2 linked regions of the Rattus norvegicus genome follow. The protein of the gene in region 2 binds, or shares a complex with, the protein of the main gene of each other region. Links are inferred from orthologs where the notes say so. Each region holds a gene or a part of one and is shown on either strand. Other genes may lie near its edges. The genes, in order: Cry2 and Per2.

Region 1 (16,018 bases), on a different chromosome or scaffold from region 2:
CTATGTAGCTGAGCATGACCTTGACCTGTCCACCTCCAGACCACTGAGATTCAAGTATAAGTAGCCACATCCAGTGCAACTCATCACTTAGTGCTGTGTAAGTGGTTGTTTTTTTTTGTTTGTTTGTTTGTTTTTTTTTAGAATGCAACCAAACACTCTGACCTGCTGGAGTTTGCCAAGAGCCTTGGGAAACCCTTGTCCCCACACTGAGCCAGTTGGCCATGACATGAACACAGAGCAATAGATCAGCCTTCAAATATAAATAAAGGCAGGGGCCATGTATGTGGCTCAGTTGGTAAAATGCTTGCCTCATATGTATGAAGCCCCGGGTTCTATACCCAGCATCACATACAATGGTGTTGTGCACATGTGCAAGTGTCACCCTCAGAAAGTAGAGGCAGGGGGACCAGAAATTCAAGGCCATCCTGAGCTACATAGGAATCTTAGTGCCAGTTCTGGCTACATGAGACCCTGTCTCAAAAACCAACCAAACAAAGAGAGCTAAGAAACAGCACGGACATGCTGTGCGACTGTGTTTGTGTGAAATGCCTAGAATTGGCAAACCTCTAGAGACAGGAAATAGATGGGCGGCTGCCTCAGACTGTCACTCACTCCCTCTGAGGTGGGAGGAGAGAGGAGATGCTCTAAAATTAGATGGCGGAGGCGGCTGTGCAGCTCTGGCTATAATAAAAGCATTGGCTTGTACATTTACATGGGAGCATTTTTTGACATAGATGCCATGTTTCAACGGATCTGCATGGGAAGAAGGGTGCCAATATGTACAGTGGCACTACACACAGAATCCCAAACTCGACACGGCACTGTGCCCGTCAGCAGATGGCTGGAGAAACAGAACATGCTGTACTTTATGACAGGAGTCTGTCCCATTAGGTGATCTCATCACCTACCCACAGCTGGGTAGCCACTTCCTCACCAAGGCCTCCTGATACATCAGGAGAGTGAGGCCAAGCCCCCTTCTGTATGAAGGGTGAGAGTGTGCCCCCAAAACCATTGTACCAAGCACAGTATGGAAAACACAGAGACCACCATGGTCCTTCATCCTGCCATGTCATGCCCTAGACTTTTGTAACTGTGGCACAGTGGTTTGCTTACACCAGAAGTGCCTTGGAAGCCTGTGTCCATGTTACATAGGTCATAGCATCACTGGCTGTCAGGAGCTATTCAGCTCCATTAATGGGTCCCCATTCCTTTCTAGAGCTCCATTATTATCTTCTGGGATGATCGCTGTACTCTGTGAGGTCTGCTGCTGTCCCAGTCCTCTTTGTGTGGCACATGGCTACGTCTATCTATCTACAGAAGAAAACACATGGCTGAGTGTTGGGGTAGCCCCCCACCACATGCCGTAAGGTATGCCCCATATTCTCAGATGATAATTGCTGGGTCGGTAGCACCAGGCTGGCAGGATGTGTGAATGTTTGTCTGTCGGGGCCTCACTTGCCCAAAAAGAAAGTCAAACTCCCCTGGGGGAGGAGTCAATGGTTAAGAGCATGGACTACTCTTCCAGAAGATATAGTTCAAATCCCAGGACTTGGCCAGCATCCCAATTTTCTTATGGTTCCCAAAGATATCATCACCCCAGGACAGCAGGATGCAATCTAAAGAACAAAGCACCCTCATTCCCCAGGGTGGATGGTGGTTCGCTGGGTTATAGATGTCATTGTCATTGAAGGGGGTTGGTTGTGGTTTGTTAAGGGTTGTGGTCAGGGAAGAAACAAAGGAAAAGAGGTTGGATTCAGGGATCTCTCTCTCTCTCTCTCTCCCTCCCTCTCTCTCTCTCTCTCTCTGTCTCTCTCTCTCTCTCTCTCTCTCTCCCCCCTCTATCCTTCTTTCTCTCCTAACAAGTGTCCAAGTGTCAGTGGATGAAACAGGTTGGGGGGAATGGGGAAGGGAAAAGAAGGGTGGATTATTGTATCTCCTTTTAGACTAAGAAAGCAACGAGTTTCAAATATTTTAGACTGGTATAGATTTGTGCATGAGGATAGAAATTTGAGGTTATATTCGCAACAACATACTGTGCACATGATCCAGCTCTTGTTTAAGGCATGTAACTTGAGTGCAACTCACTTAGAAATGCAAGGTAAAGTGCTAGTCATATGAAACTGTTAAGAATAAGAAATGCAAGTTAAGGCTAGGGAGATGGCTTAGTGGTTAAGAGCACTGGCTGTTCTAGGGGTCCTGGGTTCAATTCTCAGCAACCATATGGTGGCTCACAACCATCTTTAATGGGATCTGATGCTCTCTTCTGGTGTGTCTGAAGACAGTGACAGTGTACTCACATGTATGAAACAATAAATCTTAAAAGAAAAGAAAGAAGTACAAGTTAGTAGTCATTCACCTATAAATAATCAAACCCTTTAATGCATTCGGAATTATACCTGTAGTCATGCTAGGTATGAGTGTAGTTTATTCTGGGGGGAAGGCCTTATTAGCCTCCTGTATATGTTTTCAAAATTAAGCAAAAACAAAGTAACTAGAAACAGACAAATTTGTCTATTTAGGTGTACTTTAGATAGATAGGTGGTCCTCAAACACTCCAAAGTTCTGTAGAATATGGCATTTAAGATGTTTCAGTAAAAATAAAAAGGCTTTCCATGACAGAGTGACACATCAGCTCCTGGCAGCAGCACTGATCGCCTCCAGCGAAGATGATGGGCACAGAACCTCCACCTGGAACTTGCTTCAAATGTGGCGAAGCTGGACGCTGGGCTATAAACTGCTCTTTACCTCGACTGCTGGCAGCACCCTGTCCAAACTGTGGGCAAGCAGGACATGGGGAAGTGGACAAAATGGGACGGACAGTGCCCCTTAAGCTCCCACTTCACAGGAAACTTCATCAAATCATCTGGCCTGGTAACCACAAGATGGACGCCCCACAGACACAAAGGAGCTTGGATGACTGGCCAGGTAGCCAGTAAGTCTCTGTCATTTTTATTAGATTTGGAAGCAGCTCACCCTGCACGTCCTATTGACACAGGTGAAATGTATTCTTCTCAGGTTTCTGATGGGTTTGAAGATTAGACTCGTGATAGGCTTCAAAAGTTCAAAGCTTTAACATTGATCAATGGAGTTCTGATAATATTATCATAGCCACAAGCTCAAGATCTTAAATTTCCTTTGGTTGTCTTCTAAATATAAACTTAAAAGGACCGTTCCTTGTGCTCATTTGACGCAAACCCTCTACAGAACTTTGGACTCCCCAACATAGGACAAATGGACTGGACATTGTCTCACACTGATAGTTATCATATCTGTTCTTATTGTTTTTAGTTTACTGATGGTAGAAATAAAGCTATTTTTGTGGACTAAAAAGGAGAGATGTTGGGGTGACCCACCCCCACACATATCATAAGGAATGTCCCTGTATTCTCAAATGTTAATTGCTAGGCCAGTGGCACCAGGCTGGCAGGATGTGTAAGTGTTTGTGGGCCTCATCTGCCCCAAAAGAAAGGCAAGGTACCCTGGGGAGGAGTCTCTCCCACCATGTTAATAACTCTCTTGTGTAAGAAAGAAGTGTGGTATTTGAGCAAGAAAGTGCTGGCGACTGAAGCTGGGAGGGGGAGCAGAAGCTGGATAGAAGCATCATGGGACAGCGCAGGAAAGGAGAGCAGTGAGAACCAAGCTGAGGGTTGCCAGGGTAGAGAAGCCAGGCAGTTGGCGGCTTGTTGAGAGACTGCCCCAGGAGAAAGGCCAGCAGCCTTATACAATACAGATGTCTTTGTTATTAAAACCCAAGTCGGACCCCAAAGCCCTGCAATGGCTGAGACTCAGAAACATGCAAAGTGGGAAAACTCACACCCAAAAGGACAGATGTGTGCCTCCACATATGTGATGGGGACTGGTCTTTAGGAGCTGGCAACAGAGCAGAGGTAACTAAGGTGTTGGGCAGGAAGGAATGGTGGCCTGCTGCTTGCTGGGTACAGGGTTTCTACAGGGGACAATGTAACACGGCTAAAAATGTCAATTTGTGTTTTACATATTTGACAATAACTCATACACAAAAAATGGGAAGGGCCTGGGGCATAGCTCAGTTGGTAGAGTGCTTGCCTGTCATGCACAAAACCCTGGCTTTTACTCCCACCATTACATAAAAACCTGGGTGCTGTGGTACACATCTGTAATTCCAGCATTTGAGAGGTGGAGGCAGGAGGATTAGAAGCTGGAAAATTACCTAGGTCATGCAGGGGACCCAGGCTCAGTTCTCAACACCCACATGGCTGCCCACAACTGCCTGTAACTGCAGTTCCAAAGGATCTGACATACAAAGAACGGTGTCCACTGATTTTTATCTGCTTCTGGAGTCTCAATTATGAGCCATTTGTCTAGTTACCGTGCTCTCGTCCTACACAGCACCTATCATTCTCCTGTCTCTGTTTTTCTTTCCTTTCCTTTCCTTTTGTTGTTGTTGTACTTGGGGTTTTTTTTTTTTTTTTTTTTTTGTTTTGTTTGAGACGGGGTTTCTCTGTGTAGCCCTTGCTGTCCTGGAAGTTGCTCTAGACTAGGCTGGCCCCAAAGTCAGAGATCCACTTGCCTCTGCCTCCAGGGAGCTGGATTAAAGGCATGTGACACTAAGTCTGCTCGGCTATCCTCTCTGTTTTTCAAATGAAGGGAGCATGGAGAAATTAAAAAGCTCGCCCAAGTAAATAAATACACCATTCATTAGTTAATGGTAGAGCTGCAAACCGAACTAAGAGAAAGCTTAGCAGCTCCTCAAACTGAATAATTGAAAGGACAAATATTATTTTGGGGGGGTGTATTCTTGGAGGCTGCTGGACTCGTGCTTCCCAAGTCCTACCACTAGAGGGCGTGAGCGCCTTAAATTCGCCACGCTTTTCCCCGCCCTCTGCGTCGTCACATTTTCACCAATCATCAGATATTTACTGGAAGGGCAGATCCAAAGCAGAAAAGTTTCCCCGTATGATCTCTATAGAGGATTTTGACCAAAGGAAACAAACAAAACAGGAATGATTTGTCTTAAACATCGTCAGGGAAGACAGCATTCACTTTCTGGATGTACCATCACATCCTTGAAGTATCAGGTCCCCCCCCTTGGGTCCTCCTCTCCTTCTGCCTTTAGTGAGAGCTGGAGCAGTCCTTTTAGTGAGGGAGGCCAGGAGCTCCGAGGTGACCAAAATAGAATTCAAATTTCTGCGTCTTTAGTCATGTGCAGGTTTGTGTGCCCTCACTCCGGTATCTCCGTACTCATTTTAACGCACAAAATTACAAAGTGGACTTTGTCCTCCAGTGTCCTTTCAGGTGCCAGAACTGACATTCTGGCCCTTGAGTGTTGCCCAGGTAATTTACCCAAGTACTGGGCATCCATTCTGTGGGGTGAATTATCCTTATCAACTTGAATACGCAAGCCACACAAAACAAACATGGTGACACAGCAAGATAGAAACACTTCACACGCAATTGAGGCCACACTGCCCCTCCCTCTGGCTCAGATGTTTATGGATAGTGTCCATGAGAAATGGCTAAGTTGTTAGGCTTATCTTTGTTTTCTATTATTGCTGTAATTTTTGAGGTTTTTTTTTAAATGATTAAAAGTCTCATTCACTGGGTCATTTATGGAATACAGGTCATATGTAAGAAAAGGCCTGGAAGTTGCAAAGAAGGCAAAATTGGATGCAGGGCCTGGTCTCCAGAATAACAGCTTCTCACTGTGCCCAAGAAACTATTACCACCCCTGCTGTATCTACTAAGAAAGGGAGCCTGGAGTGACTAAGAGGTTAAAAGAACTACTTGTTAGTGGTGGTTTGAATGAGAGTGGCCCCCATAGGCTCCATTACTTGAATGCTTGGTCCACAGTTGGTGGAACTGTCTGGGAAGGATTAGGAGGTGTGGCTCCTGTAGGAGGAAGTGTGTCACTGGGGTTGGGCTTTGATGTTTCAGCTAAAGCCATTCTCAGTCAGTTAGCCTTCTCTGTCTCATACCTGTAGATCAGACGTAAGTTCTTGCAATTAGTCCAGAGCTGGGCCTGCCTGCCCGCTGCCATTCTACTCGACCAGCTTGTCCAGGGTCACAGAGAAGCAAGCAGAATTTGAGTTCAACCTCTTCATAAACAAGATAGGGCAGCCCCTGACTGCAGAGAGCTCACAGTACAACAGACACAGCACAATGGGAGTTTTAGAGAAGAGAAGAATTTACTCCCTGAACAGTCATTTGTGAATGGACCACCTCCTTACCCTCCCTGTTCTCTTCCTTGCAGACCCTCAGTGTTGTGGGGACCCAAGGAGACAAAAGAAAGAGAAAGGCGTACAATACCTCAAAGGAAAAGAAAGGGGGACCTAGAGAGATGGTTCAGAGGTTAACAGTGTGTATGCACTTTTCTTGCAGAGAACCTGACCCACGGGTAGTTCTCAGCCCCCGGAAACACTATGCTGGAGTCCATTAGACACATGCCTTCATGGGCACACACTTGTACCCAGACATGAGATTAAAAATAATGAAAAAGGGGTTGGGGATTTAGCTCAGTGGTAGAGCGCTTGCCTAGCAAGCGCAAGGCCCTGGGTTCAGTCCCCAGCTCCGAAAAAAAAAAAAAAAAAGAAAAAAGAAAAAAAATGAAAAAAAAACAAATGTTTAAAGAAAAGTAAAGGGAAACATCAGTTCACTCAACAAGTACTTGCAGAGGAGGCTCAAAGGAGAGAGTCAGGCAGAGACTGTGATAGACGTTAAGGCGCTGGCCAGTTTGAGCTTCTTATGTTTGATTCATGTGATCCTTCAGTGCCAAGTACTGAGCTAGACCTGGGAAATGTAACTGACTGTTGCCAAGGCCCCTGCATGCCAGGGCTTAGAGTCTGATGGATCTGACATACAATAGCTAAGAAATCCCAGTACTATGTGCTAAGACCAGAGATAGAAGAAGAGGAGGAAGAGGAGGAAGAGGAGGAGGAGGAGGAAGAGGAGGGGGAGGGGGGAGAAGGAGAACCAAATGAAATGAGCCCCTGGAGCTTGGGCCCAGGAAACTGGAAATGACAGCTGTCAAAGGGAAAACAGGAGATTCAAGGGTGTGGGCTGGGGCATGTGATTTATGTGAGGGAACAGCATGTCCAAAGCCCTGGAAATGAGAGGATTGTAATGACTCTGTAGTCAGAGAGTGGTGCCAATTAATGCTATTAACTTGCTGGTTAAATTCTAGATTCTTTCATTGCTCATTCCCAAGATGGGGAAGGGTCTACACATGGGATCAACACAAGGACAAATTGAAACAGTTCTCTGCTTGATAGCGCCAGCCCTCCATCCCAACTAGCCCATCTTAGCCCATGTACAGCGTGGGCAAGCCCTGTGCTAGAATCTCCAAAGAATCAAAGGGTTTCCAATGGAGACATAAGAGAATATTACCCTGCACATTTCTGATTCCCACATGAAATCCAGTAAAGAGTTTTGTGCAAAATAACGGCACTGTCTACTAAACAGAACGTAAAAGAAATAAATTCATCTGAGGACATAATGACTGTGTCAACCCACATCCTCTGGAACCTTTACCCTTTCTCCCAAACCCACTTCTGCCGCATACAAGGGCTTCTCCTTCATCCTTATGCCTTTCTGCATGCAAATGCCAAGATTCTCTTCGAGGAAGTGGGTTAAAGGCAGAAGCTTTGAAAATGAAAGATTCAGAGCGGAATCTTACTGGGTTCATGGTATTGCGCAAGCCATTCAAACTGGAGTGCCCTAAGCTTACTTCATCTGCAGAATAAGACTAACAAGCATCTGTTTTATTCGTGTTTGTGGAATGAACGTAACCGGGATGAAAATAGAAAATAGGACAGTTTGTGTAAGGCAATCACTGCTCAGCCAGCCTCGAATATGAACAGTACAACGTACTGCAAGAAAGGGCCTGGTGACAGATCTGTCAGCCACCGGCCGGAGTCACCTCAATCCCTATTTGCGTAGGAGACGCGAAATGCGTAGGAGATCCGGGGTCCCTCCAGACTCAGCCCACGCGGGGCGGGCACAGCGCCATCCTGCGTCACCGACCGGTGGCTACCAAGCCCGGACCACACATGGTGGGAACGTGAGGGGGCGGGGCCTGCGTCGGCGCTGCCGACCAATGGAACAGAGGGAGGGACCCACCCGGTGTCACCCAATCACAGAGACGATTCAGGCTCCTTGGGGTGGAGCTATGGCAGGGAGAGGCTGCATTATAGGCCGCTGGGCGGGCACTGGGCGGGACCGACGGTGTGGCCAGGGGCGGAGCAGCAGACCAAGACCCAGTCCGGGCGGCGATGGCGGCGGCTGCTGTGGTGGCAGCGACGGTCCCCGCGCAGTCGATGGGCGCGGACGGCGCGTCCTCCGTGCACTGGTTCCGCAAAGGACTACGGCTCCACGACAACCCCGCGCTGTTAGCTGCCGTGCGCGGGGCGCGCTGTGTGCGCTGCGTCTACATCCTCGACCCGTGGTTCGCGGCCTCCTCGTCAGTGGGCATCAACCGATGGAGGTGAGGGGACCCTATCTTGCGTGGTGGTAACATTGAGCGGACTCCCCCGGGCCCAGGAACTCCAGCCTGCGGCTACTGACACAGCATTTTTGCCCTGTGTGGCCCGCTCTGAACTCCGGGGCGGCCTGGGGAACAGAGGTCACGACCCCTCTATGCTGACGAGACTCTCGTTAGAAACGCGAAGTTGGCCTGCAGCCAGTCCCTGGCAGAATGGGACTGGGCTTTTAGGGGTGTGCTGTAGGAGGGGACAAAAGCGTTCAAGAGCAGGAGCTCCTCGCCGAACCCCACCCCCAAGGGCTTCCCTAAGCCTCGGGTTTGACTCTCCCCACCCCCCTTTTTCCCATCGCGGATAACCTTTCTTCACAGACAGCGGTGGTGGTGATTAGGGAATCTAGCTTAGCATTAGCCAGTATTAAAAAGACCTCAAGGGCATTATCGGTTAGTGGCACTTTGTGTTCTTAACTCATTAATTTTTTATAAACATTTATTGGGAAAGGACATTCATGACATGGCAGTGTGTAGAGTTAAGAGGACGACTTGCAGGTTCTCTTTCACCATACGGTTCCAGGCTGGAAGGTGGGTTTACCTAGGAGGTGCCCTTAACCCATCTGAGAGGATCCCTTCTGTATTGTAACTTTGCTAGAAAGATATTCAAAGAGGGTTGCACCACCCGTCAGCCTTTCCTCCTGTTATCATGAAATAATTTTTTGAGAACAGTTGGACCATTACAGATGAGACTTTTAGGAGCTGATGTAAGGGTAAGGAACAACAAAACCACAATATCAAGAACCCCTTATAACTCCCAGGAGGTTGAGCCCTTTCCCGGCATTCTGTGACACGATTAATAAATTGGTAGCTGATGTATTTTCTCTGTAACCAGTATTCAGAAACAAGAAAGTTTTGATACATCATGTACCCATCACTCTTTAAATGCCTCCTACAGTAGCTTGGTTTGTTTGCATTGTTAGAGAGATGTTTGCTTATGGCCTTGTTGCACAGATGAGCAGAGTAGCTCCCAGGAGACAGTGGCTTTCAGCATCCATTCTTTCCTCTCCAAAAGGGGTTTGCCTTGCTAGGAGAGCAAGTATTCCTAGTAGAACATCTATTAAATGCCCCTGCCTGCCCCATTTACACAGTGGAGAGCCAGCCCACACTGTTTTCAGGCTGTGCTATTACTCTGCCTCGCTCCAGTTTCCATAGATAGGAGGTTAGATTTGACAAACACCAGGGAATGACCATCTCTACTGTGGACATTAAACCAGGCCTCAGACTTTGCCCTCCCCTTCCTTTTGGCAGTGTGCCAATGTGGTTGGAGTCAATAGAATCTCAGTCTTATTTGTTATGTTGTCATGAAGATGTTTCTTTTTTTACTGGGATTGGGGGAGTGCTGTCTATGACTGCCTACTCCTTTGTGGTAGTGGAGATAAAAGAGCCTTTTTTTTTCCTTCACGAAGTTGATTGAACTCCACTATACTAAGAACTTGGTTTTATGGGGTTTTGTGGGTCACCCTTTTGTAGTTGCACTTTTTCAAGAGAATGAAGCAGAAAAGGGACAAGGCAGCTCAGATGCTTGGGCGACAGACATCTCAAATCATGTGGGGATGCAGATGCCAAGAGGTGATTTCGGGGGTTGGAGCTGGTAGGCCGCTGCTGGGCATGGCAGTGAACCATCGGGGCTCAGGTGTGCACGCACAGCCTCCAGAGACTGCATCTGAGCAGAGGAAGACAAGTAAAAATAAATGGAGGAGGCCTAAACACCATGAACCAAATAAGATGGGCATGTGTGTGTGTTGGGGGGGAGGGAGGTAAAAACTACAGATGTGTTTTTATTATTTGCCTCACATTGAAATCACTTAAAGATCCTTGAAAGCTTCCTGGGCTCCCTCCCCCGTTTCTGATCCAATTGCTCTGGTCTGGGTTGCCTTTTTTTTGGTGGGGGAGGGGTGTTACTTCAGCCAAGCTTCAGGAGTACTGCACTAATGAACTACAGAGAGTCAGGCAACCCAGGGTGTGTGTTGCTTCAGTGCATTGACCGGAAGTCTAATTAGCTTTGGCATTTAGGAGAACAAGGTGAAATAACACAAAACAGATCGAATGTGGTAACTGCTCCTGAGCCTGGCAGGAGGCACGCCACAGCAGCCTGGCCATTGTCCTTGCTCCCGAGGGTTTGAGAGCAATGCTATGCTATGTGGTGCACAGGGTTGGAATCAAGGAGTCCCGTGCCCCCACCCCTCCTGTCAGCTGCCTTCTGCATAACTGCAGTATGTGTAATCTTCCGGCGCTGCTTCCGGAACTTGGGAGTAGTCTAAGGGAATGGGGCTGCAGTATAACAGCCCTGCCCCCTACTGCTTCTGCAGCCTACACTGAACTGTCTCTCTAGAAGGGTGGGGCCATCTGGCAGAAGTGGGAGATCTGAATCTGTCACCTCTGTCACACTGACTCCCTCCCTGCAGATGGAATCAGATTAAAATAGCCACAGCGTTAGTTAAAGAGAAAGGCAACCAAGAAAAAGAGTGTGTGTGTGTGTGTGTGTGTGTGTGTGTGTGTGTGTGTGTGTGTGTGTGTGCGCGCGTGCACATGTAGGCATGGAATAAGGTTGCCATACTCATTGCCTTAGTGATAATAGGAAGTCTGTGGACCGCCAGTAGCTCTGTGGCTCCCAGGGATGTTTTCCTAGCATCCTTCGCCATTTTCCTCTGTCCTTCCCTTCCCAAATATGCTGTATCTAGAAAGGAGGTTCTGCAGGCACAAACCAAAACAAAAGGCAGATGTGAATGGCTTTTAGATTTTAAAAATGGGTGAGACTCCATCCAGTTTTTTGGTTCTTTTTTTTTTTTTTTTTTTTTCGGAGCTGGGGACCGAACCCAGGGCCTTGCGCTTCCTAGGTAAGCGCTCTACCACTGAGCCAAATCCCCAGCCCCTACTCCATCCAGTTTTAATTACCTTCTCTCTGTCACAGCTTAGATGTCAGCCAGGATTCTCCTCCTACTCTGTTGAAATTATTTTGTCCCTGGCTCTGTGCTGCATCTTCCAGGAGCTTCCAGAGCAGAGGGAGTTAGTAGATGTGTCTTCTCTCTTAGTCATTTCTCTCAGAAGTTAGCCAATGATATAGGACGGGGACTCTTGTCATTTAGGAGCTGGACGCAGCTGAACAGCTGGACCATCAAAGAGGGTGGCCTGGGAACTGGGAGGCCACAAAGAGGAGGTGGGATCTGTAGTTGCTGGTGGAGAGATTTGTGTTCCTTGAGCTATTGAGCTATTCACACTGTAACTCCAGCAAGAGGCCTCACTGTTCTGTAAGCCAAGAGCACATTTCCATTTGCCCAACAGGGGTAAAACCTTTGATCAAGTTGTTTAAAATTAAGCACCCTGCAAAAGAAAAAAAAACATATTTTTATTTATATGAGCCCCTGCTACAGACTGTGGGATTAGATTATTCCTTTTAGTGGGGCTTAAACTCTTAATTTCTTGGAAGTGAATTTCTATCTATTAATATCTTGTTACCAGTTTGCCAGCTTATAATATTGTTATGGTTAGATAAGCTTGCTTGAAGCAGAAGAATTTGGTCAAGGATGTCTGGACAGGAAGAATTCACTAACCTACCCACCCACTCTCACCTTCCACTCTATTAACAGATAAACCAAGTGTTTCTTTCTTTCTTTCTTTCTTTCTTTCTTTCTTTCTTTCTTTCTTTCTTTTTTTTTTTCTTTTTTCTTTTTTTTTTTTTCGGAGCTGGGGACCAAACCCAGGGCCTTGCGCTTGCTAGGCAAGCGCTCTACCGCTGAGCTAAATCCCCATCCAAACCAAGTGTTTCTTAACACAGTCATTACTATCCCCCAGAGAAGATCTCTCTGAGTGGACATATGGAACTCACTTGTTCTGAAGAGATCGCTTCCTGGAGTTGATGATAGTTTTCCCTGTGTTTTTTGGAAATCCCAATTTGGTTTTCTCCAGTTCTGTCTGCCCTGGCCCCAGAGGACTTATGTGATTCTGGCGAAAGGACTATTCAAAAGGGGGAGTTCTGACGGAAACTGTAGGGGCTGTGACTGCTCCTTCAGGGGGTGTGCTCTGTATTTTAGCCCTGTGATCTTCACTTGGAGCAAGGGTGAAGATCAGCCCCAGCATCACGCCTTCCAGTGCGTGAGCAGTGAGCAGGTGCAGAGGAGGGTTCAAAGAAAGCCCAGAGGGAAAGGCCAGTTCTCCCCAGTTAAGGCAGCCTCAGCCTGCCAGGTGGGCACTTTCCGGGTGCAACTTGCTCCAGTTCCTTGGTGCTTTGCAGAGCTATCACCTGGCAGGTACAAGAGGCGATGTCTTGTCAGTGGCTTCCCTGTCTGTGGCTGGCTGGGCGCTGGAAACTACCGAGGGCTCTCCCTCTCTCCTTCCTATTGCCTCCTGGGAAGCAGTTCTGAGTTCATCTTGGGGAGGATGGATGGTGGAAAAAGTTCAGCATTTCCTTTTTTGGGGGGTGGTGGTGGTGGTTAGAGCTTGAGAGAGGGTTTCACTGTAGTCTGTCCTGAAACTCACTCTGTAGACCATGCTGGCCTCCAACTCATAGAGATCTGCCTGCCTCTGTCTCCTAAGGGCTGGGATTAAATAAAGGCCACCGCCACCCAACTAGGTAAATATTTCTTAACAGCCTGAGTCTGATGGGGTTGGGGTAGAACCTAGTAGAAGCAAAGTTGAAACAAAAGTGTACAGTGTACCGATATTGAAGTCAAGGTGAAGTGTGTGACACAGTGGTTCTTCTTCAGTTTTCATGGATAAGGGAATTCCTGGGCAAATTCTGATTGTGGCAGTCTGGGATGGAGCCCAAGAAAGTATGTGTGTTCTAGAAAGTTCCTGGTCATGCACAGCTAGGGCTCTGAGTCTCACCACACTTTGGGAAGCACAGATCTACAGAAAAGATGGTAGCCTTTAATTAAGCTCAAGTACTCTCTAAGAGCTGAACCCTAGGCAGTACCACCCACCTCAAGTGTGTATTGCTCAGAGCGGTGGGTGTGCTCACTGCTGAGGTCCAGGAGCCTGGTAGCTGAGAGCGAACACTGAGCTGTAGACTCCTAGTTCTGGCCAGCTACTAGGTATGTTATGTTGGAGAAATTACTTAATCTTTGATGCTAGTTTCTTCATCTGTAAAATGAGGACATCCAGGGACAGAGTTGTCTGATAAATAATATATGCAAAGCAAGTGGGATAGAACCTTGCTCAGAGAGTGCTTGGTAAATGTAGCTGTTGCTGTTGTGAATTGCACCGTTGTTTTATTCTAGCTATAGACTTTTCCTTCTGCTTCCTGCCAGAGAAGACAAGGGTATTCATCTTTGCTATAGAGATGCTGCTGAAAGCTCTCCTTTTAGTAAATGAGTTCTAAAAATAAAGTTGTATAGAAAACAGTTTGCAACATACTCTAGAATCTATATTTCCTGTGCATTTCAGCCTTGGTAACTGCCGATCGAAGTTCTCAGGTGTGTTGAGTTGTATATGGCTGGACACGTTGGGATCTTCTGATGGGAAGGACCTCTGCCCTGAGGTGTGGAATTGTGCCTGGTGGAGCCTCCTGTTTCTGGTGGCTGAGGCTATCTGCCCCCTCAGTCTTTATTTTTATTTTGTATGTGTATTAGGGGCAGCCAGCAAAGTGCCGCCCCCCCCCCCAAGACCAATTTAAACAGGCTTGCAATTCAAATGTAAACAGGTTTAGCCTTCAAAGGGTGTCAGGTTTTCTAAATTGGAAATTTCACTGCAGGGGAACTTGAGGAGCCACAAAGCAACCTTTAGGCTGTCAGTCTCCTGTCTCAACCCATTGGGTAAGCCTATGTGTTCTTTAGCTCAGTGATGCTCTGGGCTGGGCTCCTGCTGGAATGTGGGTCTGCAGCTTTGGACATGGGATTATGTCATTTCATGTACGTCAGAGGCTGCAGGCAGGGCCTAGTTCTGGTTGGCACCGTCAAGGCTTCTGTAAGCCTCCAGTAGTCAGGGATCTACAGCAGGTTCTGCGGAGGGACCATGACATGAGAAGCTCGGCCTGTTCAGGCTGGGGTCCTGAGGAGGAAGATAGGCATATGGAAGACTGTCTGGACGAGGCTTGTGTTCCAGGCTCAGGAGACTCTCAGCCCTTGACTAAAGTATTTAGAAATGGATCACTAGAAAAAACAAAAACAAAAACAAAAACATGGCTTTTAGAGTCTGGTCTGCCTGGGCCACTATGCCAGCTCAGTCACCTAATAGCTATCTGCTTTGCTAAATTCCCTAACCTCTCTTGTCAGATTTTTTGTCTGCAAAATGGGGATAGTTCCGTTTCCTTCGAAATGTGTTGAGGGAGTCAAATTATGAAAGTACTTACGAATTAGAATAAATCCATAGTCAAACTGATGACCATGGTTGCCTTGGGAAGGCAAGAGAGGATATTTCACTCTGTACCCATTTGTCACTGGGATTTTGAACTACATCAATAGCTATACAAGTAACACTGTGCTTGCTGCCCAAGGGACTGTGGGACACAGAGAGGCATGGAAAGTGAACCTTCAGAGATGGCTCAGCCTGTGATTGTGGCTTTAGTATTTAACAGACATATAAAACAGCACCAAGATCAGCTCATAGTGAGGATGCGAGTTCAATGCCTAGGCTCTGTGTCTCAGGTTTTCCATGCACTATCTGATTTGATTTCTTAGCAATTTCATGAGGTAACTAACATCTTAGCAAGTCTATAGGCTCTACTGTTTAATTCCATGGCATGGATGAGAAAGCAATTAAAGAGGTTAAGTCATTGCCTCATATCACACAGCTAGCTAATAAGCAGGAGGCTACCCCATCACTCCTCGGCTGAGCTCAGGCTAGGCCTCCAGCTCTGTCCACACCATACCAACTTGTTTGGCATGAATAGTGGCTTTGTTAAGGAAGAATTGTGTGTGTGTGTGTGTGTGTGTGTGTGTGTGTGTGTGTGTGTGTGTGTGAGAGAGAGAGAGAGAGAGAGAGAGAGAGAGAGAGAGAAAGATTGCTTACCACCTCTACCCTAGCCCCTACCCATGTTAATAACGAGGTCTTTGTGGAATCCACAGGTTCCTACTGCAGTCTCTAGAAGATCTGGACACAAGCTTAAGAAAGCTGAATTCCCGTCTGTTTGTAGTCCGGGGTCAGCCAGCTGATGTGTTCCCAAGGCTTTTCAAGGTGAGCATGAAGGGCTGAGAGGGAGCTTCTGTTGCTTGGCTTCTTCCCATGGAGTGAAATGCTATTCTGGCTGGCAAAATGGAAATACTGGTGCCTGTCTAGCCACTAAAATGGCTGCTAGGGAGGTCAGAAGCAGGGACTGCTGGTGAATTTGCCAGCAGGGTGGAAACTGTTAAGGGAAAACTGTAAAATCAGTGTTGTGTTGGAAAGATCCCAACTCAGCCCAGACACGCAGGGTGGTGAGTCCTTCCACCCTGCTGCCGCTGGCTTCCTTATGCTTCTGTGGTTCCAGCCAGTATGTTTATTAGAGCTTGTTCCTGCCAAGACTTTGAGGGTGGGGTTTCCTGTCTAACAAGGGGTGCTGCCCACCTCAACTTGCTCTGCTTATTAGGGAAAAAGTCA
Region 2 (16,005 bases):
CCCTGCAAGTCCTAGTATTTGCTGCACGTAGATGGGCAACAAACTGTGGAGGAAGCCACCGCTGGCCTGTGTGTAGAACCTGGTCCGAGGCTGGACCTACCCAGGGTCCGAGGCTGGACCTACCTGGGGTGAGTGTTGGACGATTCCACTAACATCCGCAGCTCCTTTCCACTGTCGTCACAGTCACTGCCCTGAGAGTCCCGCCCCGTGGAGCAGTTTTCATTTCCGCTGGAGCCGCTGCTCATGTCCACGTCTTCCTGGAGCACAGCCTGGGTGGGTTGAGGCTCCCCTGGCTCTTGGGTGGGGCTGGTGGGACTTGGGGAAAAGTCCACATATCCATTCATGTCGGGCTCTGGAATGAGGCTGGTGGAAGGGGAAGAAGGTGGGCAAACGTTAAGAGCACCGGTGAGACTGGGGATATAGATCCCTAGTAAGGACTCGCCTAGTAGGTGTGAGGCCCTCGGTTTGATTCCAAGTATTAGTGGCACAGCTGTCACTTACTGCTATGCTTATATGTCCCTGATTGCTGAGTTCCTACTGGCTCTGGATCAGGAAGGCCGCTCGCCTAGGAGCCTCAGCTGGGCTATAGAGGTGCTGACAGCCCTGTCAGTAGACAGACAAGGGCACTGACAGCCACCCAGGTAGGGGGAAAATAGAGTCAGCAGTGTGGTCCAGAAACAACTCCATCACAACAGGGCACGTGCCACAGAGACGGTGGAGGCAGCAAGGCCTCCTGGAGAGGTAATACTGTTGGGTGAGGGGTGAAGAGCTCTCTGTGTGTAGCTGGTCCCACAGTATGCCATGGAATGCTCCAGGGCTCAGGGCTCCAGCACTGCAGGTGTCCTGGCGTTGGCATAAGGTGGTGTGAGGGGAAGGAGAATCAGGCCTACACTCAGCAGTCAGAGGTCACTGAACTGCCTAAGTAGCACAGCCATGATTTGGTTTCCGTTTGGCAGGATCTCATGGCCATGTGAAATAGAAACATCAACTTGTGTGCTCAGGGACAGGAGGACAGAAGGGGCTAAAATCCCACCACTATGAAGGCTTCCACAGAAATCTGAACCCCATGAAGGGCCCAGACAGTGATTGGGAAGGGTGTATATATCACCACCAGACAAGAGGCCACAGCTCAAGGATAAGAGACTGTTAGATGTCTCTGGGAGAAAGAGGGAGAGCCAGGGATAATATTTCTAGCAGGAAGGAAGCAGATGTCACTTAAGCGGGGTCAGGTCACATTAAGTTTATGCAAACAGCTAAAAGCAGTTAAGGACTCCATGCTGGGCCTAGGCAGTTACCACCACCCAAGTTGGTAGGGAAGAAGACAGAGCTAAGGAAACCCAGATCACCACAGGCTGAGGAAGAAATGCCTGGTCGCTCTCTCCTCCTGACCTCTCTCTCTCTGCCAAGCACACGAGGAAGTCAGTGGGCAGGGAACTTGCTGGCTCTTGCTAGGAGGCCAAGTGGCAACCGTACATTCTCTGAGAGGGTCTTAGAGGACACAATACTCCAACAGGCTTCCTTGCAGTCAGGAAAACACCAGTTGTTAATGGAAGGCCGAAGTTGTTAATGACAGCCCAGGTCGGGGTTGGGGATTTAGCTCAGTGGTTGAGCGCTTGCCTAGCAAGCGCAAGGCCCTGGGTTTGGTCCCCAGCTCTGAAAAAAAGAAAAGGAAAAAAAAATGACAGCCCAGGTCACACTACAATCACTATGTGCGCTCGCTGCATGTAGGATTCCATGCTGTAGATGAGTTGATGGGGTAGGACGCTCACCCAGGGCTGCATAAGGTTGGGGAACAGCCGGCTCCACACTAGCCTGACCCAGGATGCTCTGGTGGGATCCTGTATCCACGCTAAGCTTAGAGGTTTCTCTGCTGACTTGGCCTGAGTGCAGCATGAGCTCACCCTTCCCAGAGTAGACAAGGACAGGGATGCTTTCTAGACATCACCACCCCACTGCTCCCATAATTCATGTGAAATGAGCAAGGATTTCAAACTGCTGGAGAAACAGCAAGGTTTTCCACAGCCCAGGAAAACTCCAAGGGTCCCACCTGTTTGCCACAACAGGGTGCAGCAGTGACAGGAGTGACAGTGTACCAGGGTTGGCACTGGGGTCTCACACCCTGCCCAACTGCCCCAGGCCCAAGGAAGAGGACCAGCACTACAGATCTCCCCCACTCGTGCCACAGAGGGACAAGTGGAGAGAGGGTATAACCAATGGAAAGATGCTAGCAGACAAACTGTGGGGCAGAACAGCCTGAGGTCCACACCAAGAAAGTGGCCACATATGCAGGAAACAATGCAGATCACACATCCTTTCAAAACCCCGGTGATGGCATCATAAGGCTCAACACAATCCTTTACGCAGGACCTCCCCAGGTCTTTTCCACCGTGGAGTTGACTCCAGGGAGATGGGAGCCATGTTGTTTCTGGGAACATGTTCCTCGTCATGAGTGATGAGGCCTTGTTTGTCCACAATTAACAGACAAAAGCCAAAGTGAGGCTTTCGAGAAGGTTCCAACAAAGTATCGCCATTAGCATGAGGGAAGACCAACCCAGGACAGAGGGGGCAGACGATCCCTACTTCTCCTCATGCACGAAAGTCTACAGGAGACAGTTTTGATGAAACAAGTGAGGAAAACTGAGATAACGCCGTAGGCCAAGACAAAAACACAACATCAGAACCAAAAAAAAAAAAAAAAAAAAGACACAGTTCAGTCAAGAAGGGAGAAATATCTTTGGTCATGGGGGATTTGTTGTTGCTACTGTTTTTTTTTTTTTTTTGGTAAAATAAAGTCTTTCTATGTAGATCAGAATAGACTTGAACTTGTAATCCTCCTGCCTGAGCTTGCCATGTGCTGGGATTAGAGATTGCAGGTATGTACATCAGACCTAAGAAGGTGATGACCAAGCAGAAGGGAAAGTGGCCATTTTCATCCAGGGAAAAAAACCTCAGAACACCAAGATACGCAGATTTTGATCTGTCAATCTGTATATACCCTGGTACCACGTACTACAAATCTAGAAGCCCCAGTTAAAATTATGTTTTATTTAAGAGTAAAGAAAGCGGTATCTATCTCTGACTAGGAAAATCAAACATGTGACCTATGAAGTAGGAAGGAGGGATTGCCAGGCAGGGGCCCCTGGAGGAACTGTTTACACCCAGTTCTGTAAGGAAGACAGACACAGAGAAAGGAAGGCACCCCAGAGGGACTTGCAGACAGGTGGAGTTTGTCAGCATCCCAAGTCATAGGAATCCTAAATGCACGAACTGCCCCAGCTGAAGTCAGAATAAAATGTGCAAGTTCTGGTCTTTTTTTTTTTTTAAAGCAGTTTTGAAGTTGTGCCTAATTCAAGGAAAGAGGAAAGAGAGGGGACTTAAAAATGCCAAGGCACTGGCTTCACAGAGAGGCCTTCCCACAGAGCTACAGGAACTGATGGAGAGATGCTCAGGCCATCAGCACAAGGAAAATGCTAAGGAAGAAGTCTTGCCCACTGTCATGGAACATTAGCAGGATGGCCGATGGTAAGATGTAGGATAGCTGGCTTCGGGAGCTTAGGAATGCCACCACAGAGACTCTCTGAAAGAGCATGTGACCTTTCCTCTTTCTAGGAACTGAGACACAGAAATGTCAAACCCCACATACAAGTCATGAGCGAGACAGAACTCAAGCAGTGTCATAGGCAGGGGGCGGGGCTGGGCGGGGCGGGGCGTCTCTGTATGGTAATTAGAGTAGTACACAGATACCTGTATAATGTGAGCATTCTGCCTAGACCCCTAGACCCCAGCCTCAACTTCCAGACTGAGCTACTGCCTCCACCGGGCCCTACCACTGTCAATACAGTAGGACAAGTGACTCTGGTGAATGGATGTCAGTTATGCTAGGCCTGTGATCAGAGGACGGATTGCCTAAAGAAGGGACTGAAGGCTCTTCGAGGTCTAGCTGTCCCCAGACACCTTTATTTATCCGCCCCTTGGTCTAGCCTTGCTCCAAAGACTGTGCTGCTCTTCCCTCTGGGCTTCAGCACTCTCCTCAGACACCCAGAGAACCTCATCATCCTCTCCCTGTAGGGCTTGTGTCAGGATGGTGTTTCCATTCCCCTGTAGAGAGCACACTGTATGACAGCAAGAGTTTTGAGTGTCTTCTGCGGTCAGAAGAACACACTATGGAAGAAACATGGCTGGGACTCTACACTGAAGAACACTGCACGCCCGCCAACAGATACGGGGTAGAGGGGGTAGGGGTAGGGGTGGGAGGGAATAACACAGCTTAGGGCTCTGCCCCACAGATGACTGTGTGCTTGCTGGAAGAAGCAGACTAGCACAGCCTAGCACTACCTACCAAACAGTTCTGTGCACCCACGGGAAGGGCTGGGATAGTAGAGCCTAGGACTCTGCAGCACAATTCTGTGCACCCACGGGAAGGGCTATAGGGGGGTCTAAAACACTAAAACCACAGGGGCACACCTGTGGACCCTATGCCAGGGATCCCTAGGGTGGCCTTCTAGTAGACTAGAGTGCAGGGGTATCCTGCTCTCCCAGGGCTCACCTTTGAGGTCAACAAGGAACCAGGATGCATAGGATATGAAAAATTCCTGGGAGACAGACAGAGTGGGTGAGCCAGGACTTGTGATGGGGTGCACATTTGACACAGACTTGCCACTTGTGTCCCCTTGGGCTGACTCCAGGTTCAGCATGGCCACCCAGTCCTACTGAAGCCCCGGGATTTGTTCACTCTTGACCCCTAATACTCTAGACTACATCTATCCCCTCTACACAGGCAGATGAGCAGCCATCTTTTTTGTCTTGGGTTATGAAGCTGCCAGCAGCAGTGTGAGCCACCCGTTCTGCCATACTCCACTAGTCCTAGGCTGTGAGGAGTCTCTTAGCCTCTGTGCCATGATTCCTCATCTTTATGACGGGGATAAAAACAGTTCCTTCCTCTTATTGGCACTTGGGAAAATTAAATGGTCTGATCTATCTGGAATCCAGAAATGACAAATACCAGCTTTCAATCTCGGGGCTAAATCACGACAGGGAAACAGGCAGGTCAGGCAAGGGTAGGGTCGGGGAGTTCACTGCCGAGCCACTAGTAGTGTCTCTCTGGCTTACATGCAAAGGGCTAAAAATGTACACCCCATTCTACCCAACCCCACCCTGGTGCAACCTGGATATTCTGTGTTGGGACTCCTAGTTTGTGCCTGGCAATTCCAATCCCCGAGCGTCTATGTGAACAGGGTCACTGTTGCCACCAGGTTACCTTGGAGAGGAAGGTAAACTTCTTTCACAGGGATAGCCAGGCAGACATGGCAGAAACGGAAGGCAACAAACTAAGCTAACTCGCCCAAAAACCTCATTATTCCAGAAAATGCATTGCTCAGCATAAGTGGCGCTAATGGACTGACACCAATTTGCCAAGTTAGCAGAAACAGTTGCTGGTCCAAGCAGACTTTGCCTCCTGCACTTATGATCCAGCACTCAGTCCTGGCTCTGATGGGTGGGCAGAAGCCCCTGGGAAAGAGGGTACTATGGTAGTCTCAGGGAGGGGTCTGGGAGGGAGAGGGAGAACTTGGCTGAGACCCTCTTAGCCTGAGCCCACACCCTCCATATCTATCCGTGAGCCTCTCCCATGGACAGCAGCCAACCTGAGGGTAGGAGTTAAGCTGGGGTTGTTGACCCAGTCACTCGGTCATGCTCACTCTCCTTGGCCAGACAGAGGCACGTTAGGGAAAAAAAAGTGCCCTGGGTGATGAGATCATGGGCCTGGGGTGGGGGAGGGCACCCAAGGCTGGCTGCTGGGAGTTCACAGGCTTGCTCTCTCAGCCTCTGTAACTAGCACTCTCCATAATAAATGGTTTAAAAAAAAAAAAAAACAAAAAAACCCCAGCAAACCACAAGGACAAGACAGGACCAGGAATGACAGCACAGCCTGACAACCAGCCTCCATTGCCAGTTAGGAACATAAGGGTCTCTCACCCTCACGGCCTCCTACTTAAGAGGGAAATGAATACATTTTCTGAGCGAAAAGAGTAAGGAACCTACTTCCTTAAGAGAAAAGTAAAGGGGTTGGGGATTTAGCTCAGTGGTAGAGCGCTTGCCTAGCAAGCGCAAAGCCCTGGGTTCGGTCCCCAGCTCTGAAAAAAAGAAAGAGAGAGAGAGAGAGAGAGAGAGAGAGAGAGAGAGAGAGAGAGAGAAGTAAAGACGCACGCATCATAAGATCTCAGTTTAGTATTTGTCCCTGAACCCTATGGCCAGCCGGCAAGAACAGCCCGAGCCTGGCTAATCACAACCCAGCAAACTCCTGACTGTCTTCCGACTTTATATAACAGGGGCCCGACGCCTGTACCTCGAGTCTGCAAGCCCCATGGTATTTTACAACCTCAAATATTATAACATGTTTTCTACTTCCTGGTAGGAGCCAACTCCCTGGGGCCTGCCTGCTGTAATCCGAAGAAAATGTTTGTCCTGTTAAATAAACAGCCACTCTCTCCATGGTGACGGTTGGGTAACGGAGGAAAATGTGGCCAGGGCTGTCCAAATAAGGAGGGGAAGGAGGCAGGCGGGCGGGGTGCTGACTCGATAGGACTTCCCCCACAGGCTTTTCAGTCCTTACCTATGTTGAGGTACCAAGCTGCAATGAATAATGTACCTAGGTGACAGGCCCTGGTGGTGGTTGAGGTGGGAAAGAGCAGTTTGAATGCTGGAGGGATCTAGGAAGCCCAGACCTTTGCCCTCGAGGACCTGAGCTGATCTAGGACCAGGTGTTGCAGGAAACAGGCCCTGTTTTTTCACAAAGCCCACTGTGCCAAGATAATTATGTGAGGGCTGGAGAGATGGCTCAGAGGGTAAAGACACTTGCTGCCGAGACTGGACAACCTAAGTTCGAGCCCTGGAACTAAGTCCTTCAACTTGTCCTCTGACCTCTCCGCACACACGGTAGAAAGTCAATCGTGTGACCTCCCTCCCTGCTTCGATCTTACTTTGGACTCTAGAGTGCCCTACAGTGACCGGCTTGGTAGGATTATATTCCATGAGCAAAAGACTTCATGTGAAGGCCGAATCCCCTGTGGGAAGTACAATGGTTTGGGAGCAGGCCAGCAGAGGCTCTCTGCACCTGCTCGTTCTCCCAGGAGTCTGGTGGTAAGCAGCTTCCTACAAGCGTTAGGTGAAGAGGGCTCCACAGGGCTGTGGGCTATGCGTTTCTAGTCACCTAGTGCAATCATAGTCAAGGGTCACTCCCATATCCAGCGAGGCTCTTTCCCGTGCCTCCAATCACTCACTGACGTCTCAGAGCTGGAGTTGATGATCCGCTGAGATTGGATGAACTTAGACCATTATAATAGGCCCCCACACTTCCCAGGGTTTTCTAGAAGGTTCCAAGTCTGGGAGAGGCTGTCTAAATAAAAGGAACCTTTCCTAGTCTGTTTAAGCGCAGCAGAGAAGTCTCACACGGAGACATTATGTGACACCAGCAGGGCTTTGGAAACTTCTCCCCATAGAAGTTAAGATAAAGGTCCACAGACACACAACTCCAAGCGTGAATGGGGCCAGATCTCAGAAAGCGCCTCAGATGAGGAAACTGAGGCCCAGGGTAAGACGAGGTACCCCGTAGCTACCAGCTGGCTGATACAAGGCTCCCCCGTTCGCTGCTCGGCACCCCAGCCTCCACAGAAAGCCCAAACTGCACCAGTTATGTACCAAGAAATCACACCAAGATGACAGTGACGGATAACCGCAGCCACCCACAGTGCCATTCCTTGAGGGCACAGTGTACAGCCACCACTAAAATAAAGGAGTCCTCGGCTTTTTTAGATTCCAACGACGTATAAAAAGTGATTCTCTCTGCATTTAAAAGCCCGATTTTTTTTTTTCAATGAAAGCCTTCAGGTACACAGACTCTGGTTCTCTTATCAGACAAATCCGACCTAGACTCCAGAGAGTAAGGCAAAGTGGACGTGTCAGGCTTGCATCTCTGGTAAGCATGTGGACCAAGGAGGGGAAACGGATCCTCAGACTGCCAGCCAGGCCTGGTTTTTACAGTGGTACAGCCTATCAGCCTGTGCCTCTGCCTCTTCAAGCTAGGGGTTACCCTGGATGATTTCCAGGGAGCCTTCTGGCTCCCTTGATCTGTATGAATCAGCTTTCCAAACTGGTTCCTTGTGTATACGTTACAGAAACCCTGGCAACCAGGGATCCTGGAGAAGAAGCAGGCCACCGCCCACCTCTTGGTCCATGTCTGCGCTTGGCAGCCAAGGTATGTCCCAAAGGATGACGTGACTGCTCCAGCTCAAGAGTGGACCTCTCCCCCTCCCCTGACACACACCCAGTCCATCTGGAGACAGGAAATGCTGGCATGGAGGATGCCATGGAAATCAGAGTGGGTGGACAAGGAAGGTGGTCTCTCTGACGACGGGGAGGGGCAGGTGTGGCTTGGCATTGGATATTTCTCTGTTTAACCCCTTTCCCACCTCTGGGAGTCAACGCCTACCAGTGGTCCTTCCTCAGGGCCAGACTTGACTATCTGGACTTATAGTAGTAAGCTAGCTCCTCAGGGGACCCTCTGGATCCATCCTAGGAACGTTTTGCACTCACCCTAGTTTCCTTGGTCATCACTATTGGAGTCGGCTCGCGCAGTCTGGTGTGGTGATCACTCAATGTCTCTGCGTCCTCGGACAAGATGCCTAACTAATCTCCCCGACCTCAGTGCCTAACCTGAGAAATGGGGGGCAGCAGTGTGCGCCTAAAAGAGGGTCACCGCGCAGTCCCATCTACATTCTGCGGAGTTGCAGCCGTTTGCACAGTCGGCAACTCCTGGCTCAGGACCCCAGCTCCAGCTGTTCGAGCCGCCGGTTACGTAAGCCGACCACGGCCGTCCAGGTCCGCGCCACCGCCCAGCGCCGAGCCGCCGCCCAGCGCCGCGCCACTCACCGCTTCGCAGCGTCCACCCGCGCGTCGGTCCTTTGCTCGACCCGTCACTTGGTGCGCTCGGCCTGCGCCGCAGCCGCCCGGAGCCGCTAGTCACTGTAGCGCCGCTGCCACCGCGTCGCCCTCCGCTGTCACATAGTGGAAAACGTGACCGCGCGCGTTGAGCCCGCCCCTCCGCGCGCCATTGGTCGCGGCGCCGCATCATTTGCATACTGGTGGGGCGGAACCTGAGAGTTCCGCGCATCGATTGGTAAAGACGCCCGTCGCTCTCTTTACATAAGACGCACATGGAACTCCATGTTCGCCGCCCCGGTTCCTCAATGAAGACGTTGCGCACTCTTGCGCCCCCCTGCGCCCTGGCGAGTAGGCTCGTCCACTTCCGGCCTGCGGGACTTCCATTCACCTGGCATGGCGGTGGCCCGCTCGTGCAGCCGGGAGTGGCGCGTACCATTGCGGCGCGGGGGGGAAGGTTCTTGGCTGCTGCGCCACTCACGGCCGGCGGAGTCCCAGGCCACCGGCCTACCACCTGCAGCGACGTGAGCAGCCTCAGCAATCTGAGGGATCGAGAAAGCTCTCATCCGACACCTTTCGCTCACCCAGCCCAGTTCATTCATTTCCTCTCCCATTCATTCATGGCGAGGCGCCGGAGGACAAATAGGGCGGCCCCTCTGGATCTGCTGCTGCGCACCTATGCAGGACAGCCTGGTTGACCCCAGGCCAGGACCCCAGGCTGATGGTCGTCCTACGTGGGCCAGAGCACATCGCTCCCACTTAGCCTTTCTTGTTTTTGAAATCGCGTGTTGCCAGATTGTGTTGATTCAGGAAATAAGGTCATGAGTGCGGTGCAGAGATACAAAGGAAAGAAGTGATTTCTTCCTGCCCTCAATGGCATAGGGAGAAAAGACTGGCATTCTGTAGGGAAGCTTAACCAAATGCGGTGGTGTAGTTTATTAACCTTACAGGGTATGTGGAAGCGGAGCACTTGAGAATGGGGTAGATGGGACATGCATCTGGAACAGCAGGGCTTTTCTGAGGTGGAAGCTATAGACACTCGCTAGTCAGGGGAGGGAATTCCCCGGGGACAGGACAACCTTGCTCTTGTGGAACCTTGGCTGAACCTACTTGGCTCTTTCAAGAGTACTGTCTGGAAGACTATTAAGCATTCAGTCCAAAGGGTCAAAGGAGGGAGTAGAACTTTCCCTGGAACTGGTTTGAGGCCCAAGACTTACCTGTCTGACATAGACATTTTAAAGGCTCTGGAAGTGTAGGGTGTGATGGGGGAGGCAAGGTTGTCATGTCTTTGAAGGGTGCAAAGGTTACTCGTCGTGGCCTAGGAACTCGAAGCCTAGTAGCACCCGCTATTCTGAATCTTCCCCAGGTGTGTCCTAGGAACTAGGAATGGAAAGAAGGCAAACACTATCAACCAAGTCTGTGAACAAACTGAGTTGCTGGTGCACACAGCCAGCTAACCCACATTCAAAAATCCCTGTGAGTGAGGCTCTTCTTTCTGTCTGCCTGGCAGGACAGGCATGCAATTCCTCAGATGCGGGGGAGGGGGGTGGGTGGGAGGGCAGGCAGAGACTAAGTTCTTTTCGGCAGCCCATCCTGAAGGAGCCCTGGGAAGCCAGATGTTGACTCACACTGCAGGGGGCAGGGCAGCACCTCTGGTTCCTCTGACATTGACACCTCACCACACTCCCCAACAGGCACAAACACTGAGCAGAGCTGGGCCAAGCTGCACTCTGCACACACCCAAAGGGCCTTTTGTTTCCTCACTTTCATTGACGTCAATGGTGGCTGCATTGTTCTGGAAACAAGAGTACACAGCTCATCCACCTGGCAAAGTCTTCTTCATGTTCAGCTCTTTCTTGTCTTGCACCACATTTGGCCTGCAATGTAATGTCACGGTTTCTCCTTACATTTAGCCTTTGCTATTTCCACCAGTAAATATTCTCGAAAGCCATAGAAATCAATTCTTTCGGAAACTCAATACTGTGGAGACTCTAGAACTCTTTGGGATCTATTTTGTCTTCGGTTTCTCACTCGGTTGGATTCTCCTTTCCAATATATTCATATATGCCACGAACATTTGCTAACACCTGAGTTTGGAGAGAAATGCAAAGTGAACCTCCTCCTCCCCCTCCCCTCTCCTCCTCCTCCTTCTCTCCTCCCCTCCTCCTTCTCTCCTCCTCCTTTTCTTCTTCTCTCCTCCTCCTCTTCCTCCTCCTCCTTTCTTCCTTCCTCCTTCTTCTCCTTCCTTTCCTCTTCCCTCCTCCTCCTCCTCCTCCTCCTCCTCCTCCTCCTCCTCCTCCTTCTATTTTTAAGACAGTATTTTACCCTGTATCCCACATTACCTTGAGTTATAGATTGTTGTGAGCTGCCCAATGGGTGCTGGGAACCACAACCTGAAGGGCAATAAGTTTTTTTAACTGCTAAGCTATCTCTTCAGCCCTGAAGATACAGTTTTAAAAGAAGCCTCCTCTCAGCCTAAAACTATTTGCTGTCATGTCACGCAAGAAGAGATTGAAGCATCAGCTTTCCTGGTAATAAGGTCATATAAGAAAAGCCAATGGCCTGACTGAGATGAGAGCTGTGACTTTTGGTGGGGGTGGGTAGTCTGTGAATGACAGTTCTCAGAGTTGGTGCTGTAGATCAAACCTGTGCCTTGGGAACTTGGGAATTGGGTTGCAGGTCGAGGTTTCCCAAGACTCTTTCCAGGGTTTGAGCTTCTTTCCAGGGTTTTGTGGCCACTGGTGTCCCTCACAGTTTTGAAGGAGTCTACAGGAAGACAGCCATCACAAGACAACTGTGTCCAGGGGGTGAGGTGCTCCCCATGTCTTGAGTACCCTTTATGCCTGAGATATTACCCAATGTCTGAGGCAATGCCCTGTATCACTTCCTTTTATTTTCTTATAGAACGTAGTTTTATTTTATGTTACCCTGCTGTTACATAGGGCATAACATTTTCACAAGGCTTTTTTGGGACTACAATCAATAATTAGCAAACACACAATATAGTGATCCAACTCTCTAAAGAACAATCACTGGACAAACCAGATACCCCCTCACATGTGCACAAATCTGCATGGAAAAGTACTAAAGTTTAGACTTGGACTTGTGTACTTTATTTCTCCTTCCTAGCGTATTAAGAAAGGACATGCATTTTAATTTGCCCAAAGCAATGCTTGTATTCTGGCAGAAACATGCTACTTCTATCACAAGGTAAAGCGAGTACCAGAGCTACGAAGGCAGGAGGTGTAAGTGAATCTTTATTGGGAAGGAAGTTGTCAACTTAAACAGCAGCAAATGAAGAATGCATAAGGAAATGCCCTGTTGTCACAGACAGATGTAACCTCCAGAATATGTGACACAGGAGACATTTCAATCTGTGACCCCCCAAGCCCAAATGCATTAAGCGCTTTCCATTCAATCTAACACTTCTGGATTCCTATTAAGAAGGAATTTGTAGTAAGAGCATGGAAAAGTTGCTTCTGAAAGGAAACCCCCAAGAAAGTTCAGAAAAGGAATGTAGAAATCATGATGTTATTATTACAATCACTTTAAATTGTAATGCACTACCGTTTCCATATCTTCACAGTAATACAAAACACAGTCAGTTGCAGAACTGGTTCAGATTACTTAAATACCAAATGTGCTCTACACAAGTGTCTGGAAGTCACTCGTGTTTATATGAAATGAAGCTATTGATACTTCTCTACAGCAGTAACTGCACACCAGGAAGGCGGAGACAACACAAACCAAGGGATGGAGTTTTCCCAAAGCTGCAGTGTGAAAAGACTATAAACAGTTGACCCCATACACATGAATGGGCTTCCTTGCTAGAGGAAATCCAAGTGGAATAAGGACTGGAGATGTAAAAAGGTTTTCTTGAGGGGAAGGAGGTTGGTGTCCTGGATGCCTTTAGTTCTCAGCCCCATCCGCTGCATCACATTCTTCTCCTGCACTGTCTGATGTCCATAATGTTAAGTTGTCTCTAAGCAACTGTGTGACGAGGGCGCTGTCTTTGTAGGAGTCTTCATTCAGTGTTTCAAGCTCAGCAATTGCTTCATCAAAAGCCATTTTAGCCAGTGTGTAGGCAGGCTCTGGATTATTAAGGCTCTCATAGTAAAATACAGGAGAGTGAAGAGCCAGCCCCAGGCGGATCGGACGGGTAAGTTGCATCTCTTTCTTGCTTATATCAAATGCCTCTTGGTAGGCTCCTTGGGGATTTCCTATCGTTTGTTTTCGATCATCACCACAAGCTACTTCAGCAAGACACCGGAAATAATCTCCCTTCATTTTCAGATAGAAGACCTTACTCTCTGGACTAAGTTGCATTGGCTATCCTTTTATTTTAAAATTTTGGTGTGTGTGTGTGTGTGTGTGTGTGTGTGTGTGTGTGTTTTGACCGCACGTATATCTGTACACTGTGTATGTGTCTGGTACCCTCAGAGGTTCTATAACCTCCAAAATATAACACTAATCGCCAAGGGCTAAGTGCTCAAGCACCAGAACCAGTGGGGAATATATCACATTCAAACTAAAAATGTCCCATGTCTGAGACAATTGATCCTTGGACCTGGGGTAGTCTCCATGCCCAAGGTGATCCCCTCACAGTCAAGGTGAAACCCTGCTGTAATTTGGATCTGGAATGTTCTCAAACACCCGTGCATTAAAGAATAGGTCACCAACATGGTACTGTTGGGAAAGTGGTGAAACCTTGAAGGGGTGGGTCTTATAGGAGGCTTTAGGTCATTGGAGAAATGCCCTTAAAGGGACAGTGAAACACCTACCTCTTGATCTTCCTTTGATACCAGTCCTGACATCAACCGTTTCCCACATGCTGGTTCGATGATCACTTGCCCTTGCTACAGGCCAAAAAGTAACAGTGAGGATCAACCGTGAACTGAAACCTTCAGAAGGGCGGGCCCAAATAAACTTTCTCTCTTTGTAAACCTACTGCCTCGTGTATTCATTACAGTGATGAAGCTAGCATACACTGTGTCCTGAGCAACACCTCGGCTAAGGTAAACAGCACACCTGAGCGCACCTCAGGGGACCTGCATGTCTGAGGTGATTCTCTATATCTGAGGTTGTTCTCCATAATTGAGGTGATCTTCCATGTTGGAGGTGACTGTCATGTCTGTGTCTATGGTAATCTTCCATGTCTAAAGTGATGCTCGATGTCTGAAGGGAATCCTCCATGTCTGAGGTGATCTCTGTCTATCCTCGTGTTTGAAGCGATCCCCATACATGAGGATCTTCTTCCCTCACAAGGACTTTGTTATTAGTCAAGGGCTGATCTCACTGTTCTTCTAAGTCATAGGTTTCTCCTAGAAGTCCCTCTTGCTCTATCCTCATGTGTCCCCAAGAAAGTCACCTCAGTTTTCTTCCAGCATTGTTAGTGGCACCGAATGACAGCGTCTCTGCTCTCTTCCCCTCCCCCTAACGTAGATGTCCTGGAGTAGCATCAGGAACTGGAGTCTTTCATGCCCTGAGGAAAATCAAAGTTAGCCACCAATAGGGTATTTGATCCTGGGTGACACAGAAGAAAGCAGGAGGCTGAGGCCAGAGATTCACATTCATGGATGTCTGTGGCCATTAGGGACCCACCTTGACTGCACAAAGCTGTGACTGCCCTCTACTCACAGGAGTCGTGCTTGGCACTACCGTGCCTTCTTTTACTTAATCCTCACAGCAGCATGAGATGAGTGCTCACCCCCACTGCTCCTCTGCAGAAGACATTCCCAGCTCTCAGTGTGATAGGAATCGTGCCTGCCTCTGATAACCTTTGTCTGCAGCCTCACCGCTCCACCCTACAGAGCCTGGGAAAGCAAACGGCACAGGTTATGAATGACCAAAGTCTAAGCTCCAACGGTCTGCTTCTGGAATATTCTCCCCAGCAGGAAACTCCATAGTGACGTGACTGACAAAGTGTTCCCTGACTTCTCCTGATTTCCTTCCAAACCTCTAAAGGCTAGCGGGAAAGTGTTCCTCGTGGGTTACTACCCCCAACTCGTCCCTTTAGCCATGTCAGGCTGGTATGAATCTTCTAGCAGGACAAGCTCCAGGGGCACTGTGAGTCTTGCTTGGTTCTCTGCCTACAACTCTACCCTTTAGTCAGGTCTTTTCCAAGCCTGCTGAGTACCGTGTGGTTTGGGGGTTGTCATCTCCTGCTGACTTCTTAAAGCCTGACATGGAAAACACTACTAACTGTTCCCAGACCAAGGCTTGTAGAAAATAACAAACAACCCTGACTGAGCTGCCCTCAAAAGATCCCCCAAATGAAACACTGGAGATCTGACACGTTTTTGTAAATATCTCCTTAACCAAGATCTTGCTCTGGAATTGAACTTCTTACCATGCATGCTGATCTGTTTTTGATACTGCAACATAATATCTGAGAGAAGCTACTTTGTAAAGAAAAGAAGCTTATGTAACCCACAGATTTGGAGGCCGAAAGTCCAAGATCAGGTGGCCTTTGGATTATGGCTTTGGTGAGAACCTTGTATTGGATGTCACTGTGGCAGAAGCACACCTGAGAAAGAGAGATGACCTCACCAAAAATGAAGACAGGGACAGGATAAAAGGCCATGACCCTAGCTCTAGAACTGACCAAATGTGTCCCATGCACCCTACCTTGATCCTCAGTGGCCTCAATGACCTAAGGACCTCTCACTGTCCCTACCTCTTGAAAATGTGCACAGCACTTCCCAATATTACCACTCTGAGGACCAAGCTCCCTATGCATGGGACTTGAGGGATGAGTCGCATTGTAAAACACAGAGTGTATCAAAAGCACACCTGTCCTTGTGGGATCATAATCAATATCACCAGGGATCATTGAACTATGCCTTGCCAGTCAAATCTGGCGCAAGGCCAGCTTTGGCATAGCCTGTGAGTTAAAGGGGAAGGGGAGAGTGAAGAAAGCCCCAGGATGCTACTGCAACCCTACAGAAAGAGCCCATTAGCGGAAACGGTTTACTATCTGACCCTTTGCAGGAAAGGTTTTCTGATCCTTGCTAATCACCTAATATTTGGTAGCACTAGTTACCAGACTTCTTAACTCTAGACGGCTGTAAT

The links.
Region 1: the proteins of Per2 (region 2) and Cry2 are in contact, whole or in part, in a crystal structure (PDB 4U8H), measured with the Mus musculus proteins. The link is inferred for Rattus norvegicus from reciprocal best matches to the Homo sapiens genes PER2 and CRY2. Residues at the interface, in NP_035196.2 of Mus musculus: Tyr1132, Leu1134, Gln1135, Asp1136, Pro1137, Trp1139, Leu1140, Met1142, Ala1143, Asn1144, Thr1145, Ile1149, Met1150, Met1151, Thr1152, Tyr1153, Gln1154, Leu1155, Arg1158, Asp1159, Leu1160, Val1163, Leu1164, Asp1167, Gln1168, Lys1170, Leu1171, Leu1174, Gln1175, Ser1177; in NP_034093.1 of Mus musculus: Trp58, Ser63, Ser64, Val65, Lys163, Leu166, Thr167, Lys169, Arg170, Glu215, Leu216, Gly217, Phe218, Asn330, Pro331, Ile332, Cys333, Ile334, Gln335, Ile336, Pro337, Asp339, Asn341, Pro342, Glu343, Leu345, Ala346, Lys347, Ala349, Glu350.

What each region holds. Positions count from the first base shown.
Region 1 is NC_086021.1:98,852,664-98,868,681, reverse strand, and holds the start of Cry2 (cryptochrome-2), read left to right. Parts: upstream 1-8,244; 5' UTR 8,245-8,246; coding exon 8,247-8,458; exon of another isoform or gene 8,459-10,169; intron 10,170-11,229; exon of another isoform or gene 11,230-11,827; intron 11,828-15,507; coding exon 15,508-15,616; intron 15,617-16,018. UniProt on the Homo sapiens protein: Transcriptional repressor which forms a core component of the circadian clock.
Region 2 is NC_086027.1:99,487,984-99,503,988, forward strand, and holds the start of Per2 (period circadian protein homolog 2), read right to left. Parts: upstream 9,011-16,005; 5' UTR 8,926-9,010; intron 8,896-8,925; exon of another isoform or gene 8,590-8,895; intron 1,654-8,589; exon of another isoform or gene 1,390-1,653; intron 364-1,389; 5' UTR 345-363; coding exon 124-344; intron 1-123. UniProt on the Homo sapiens protein: Transcriptional repressor which forms a core component of the circadian clock.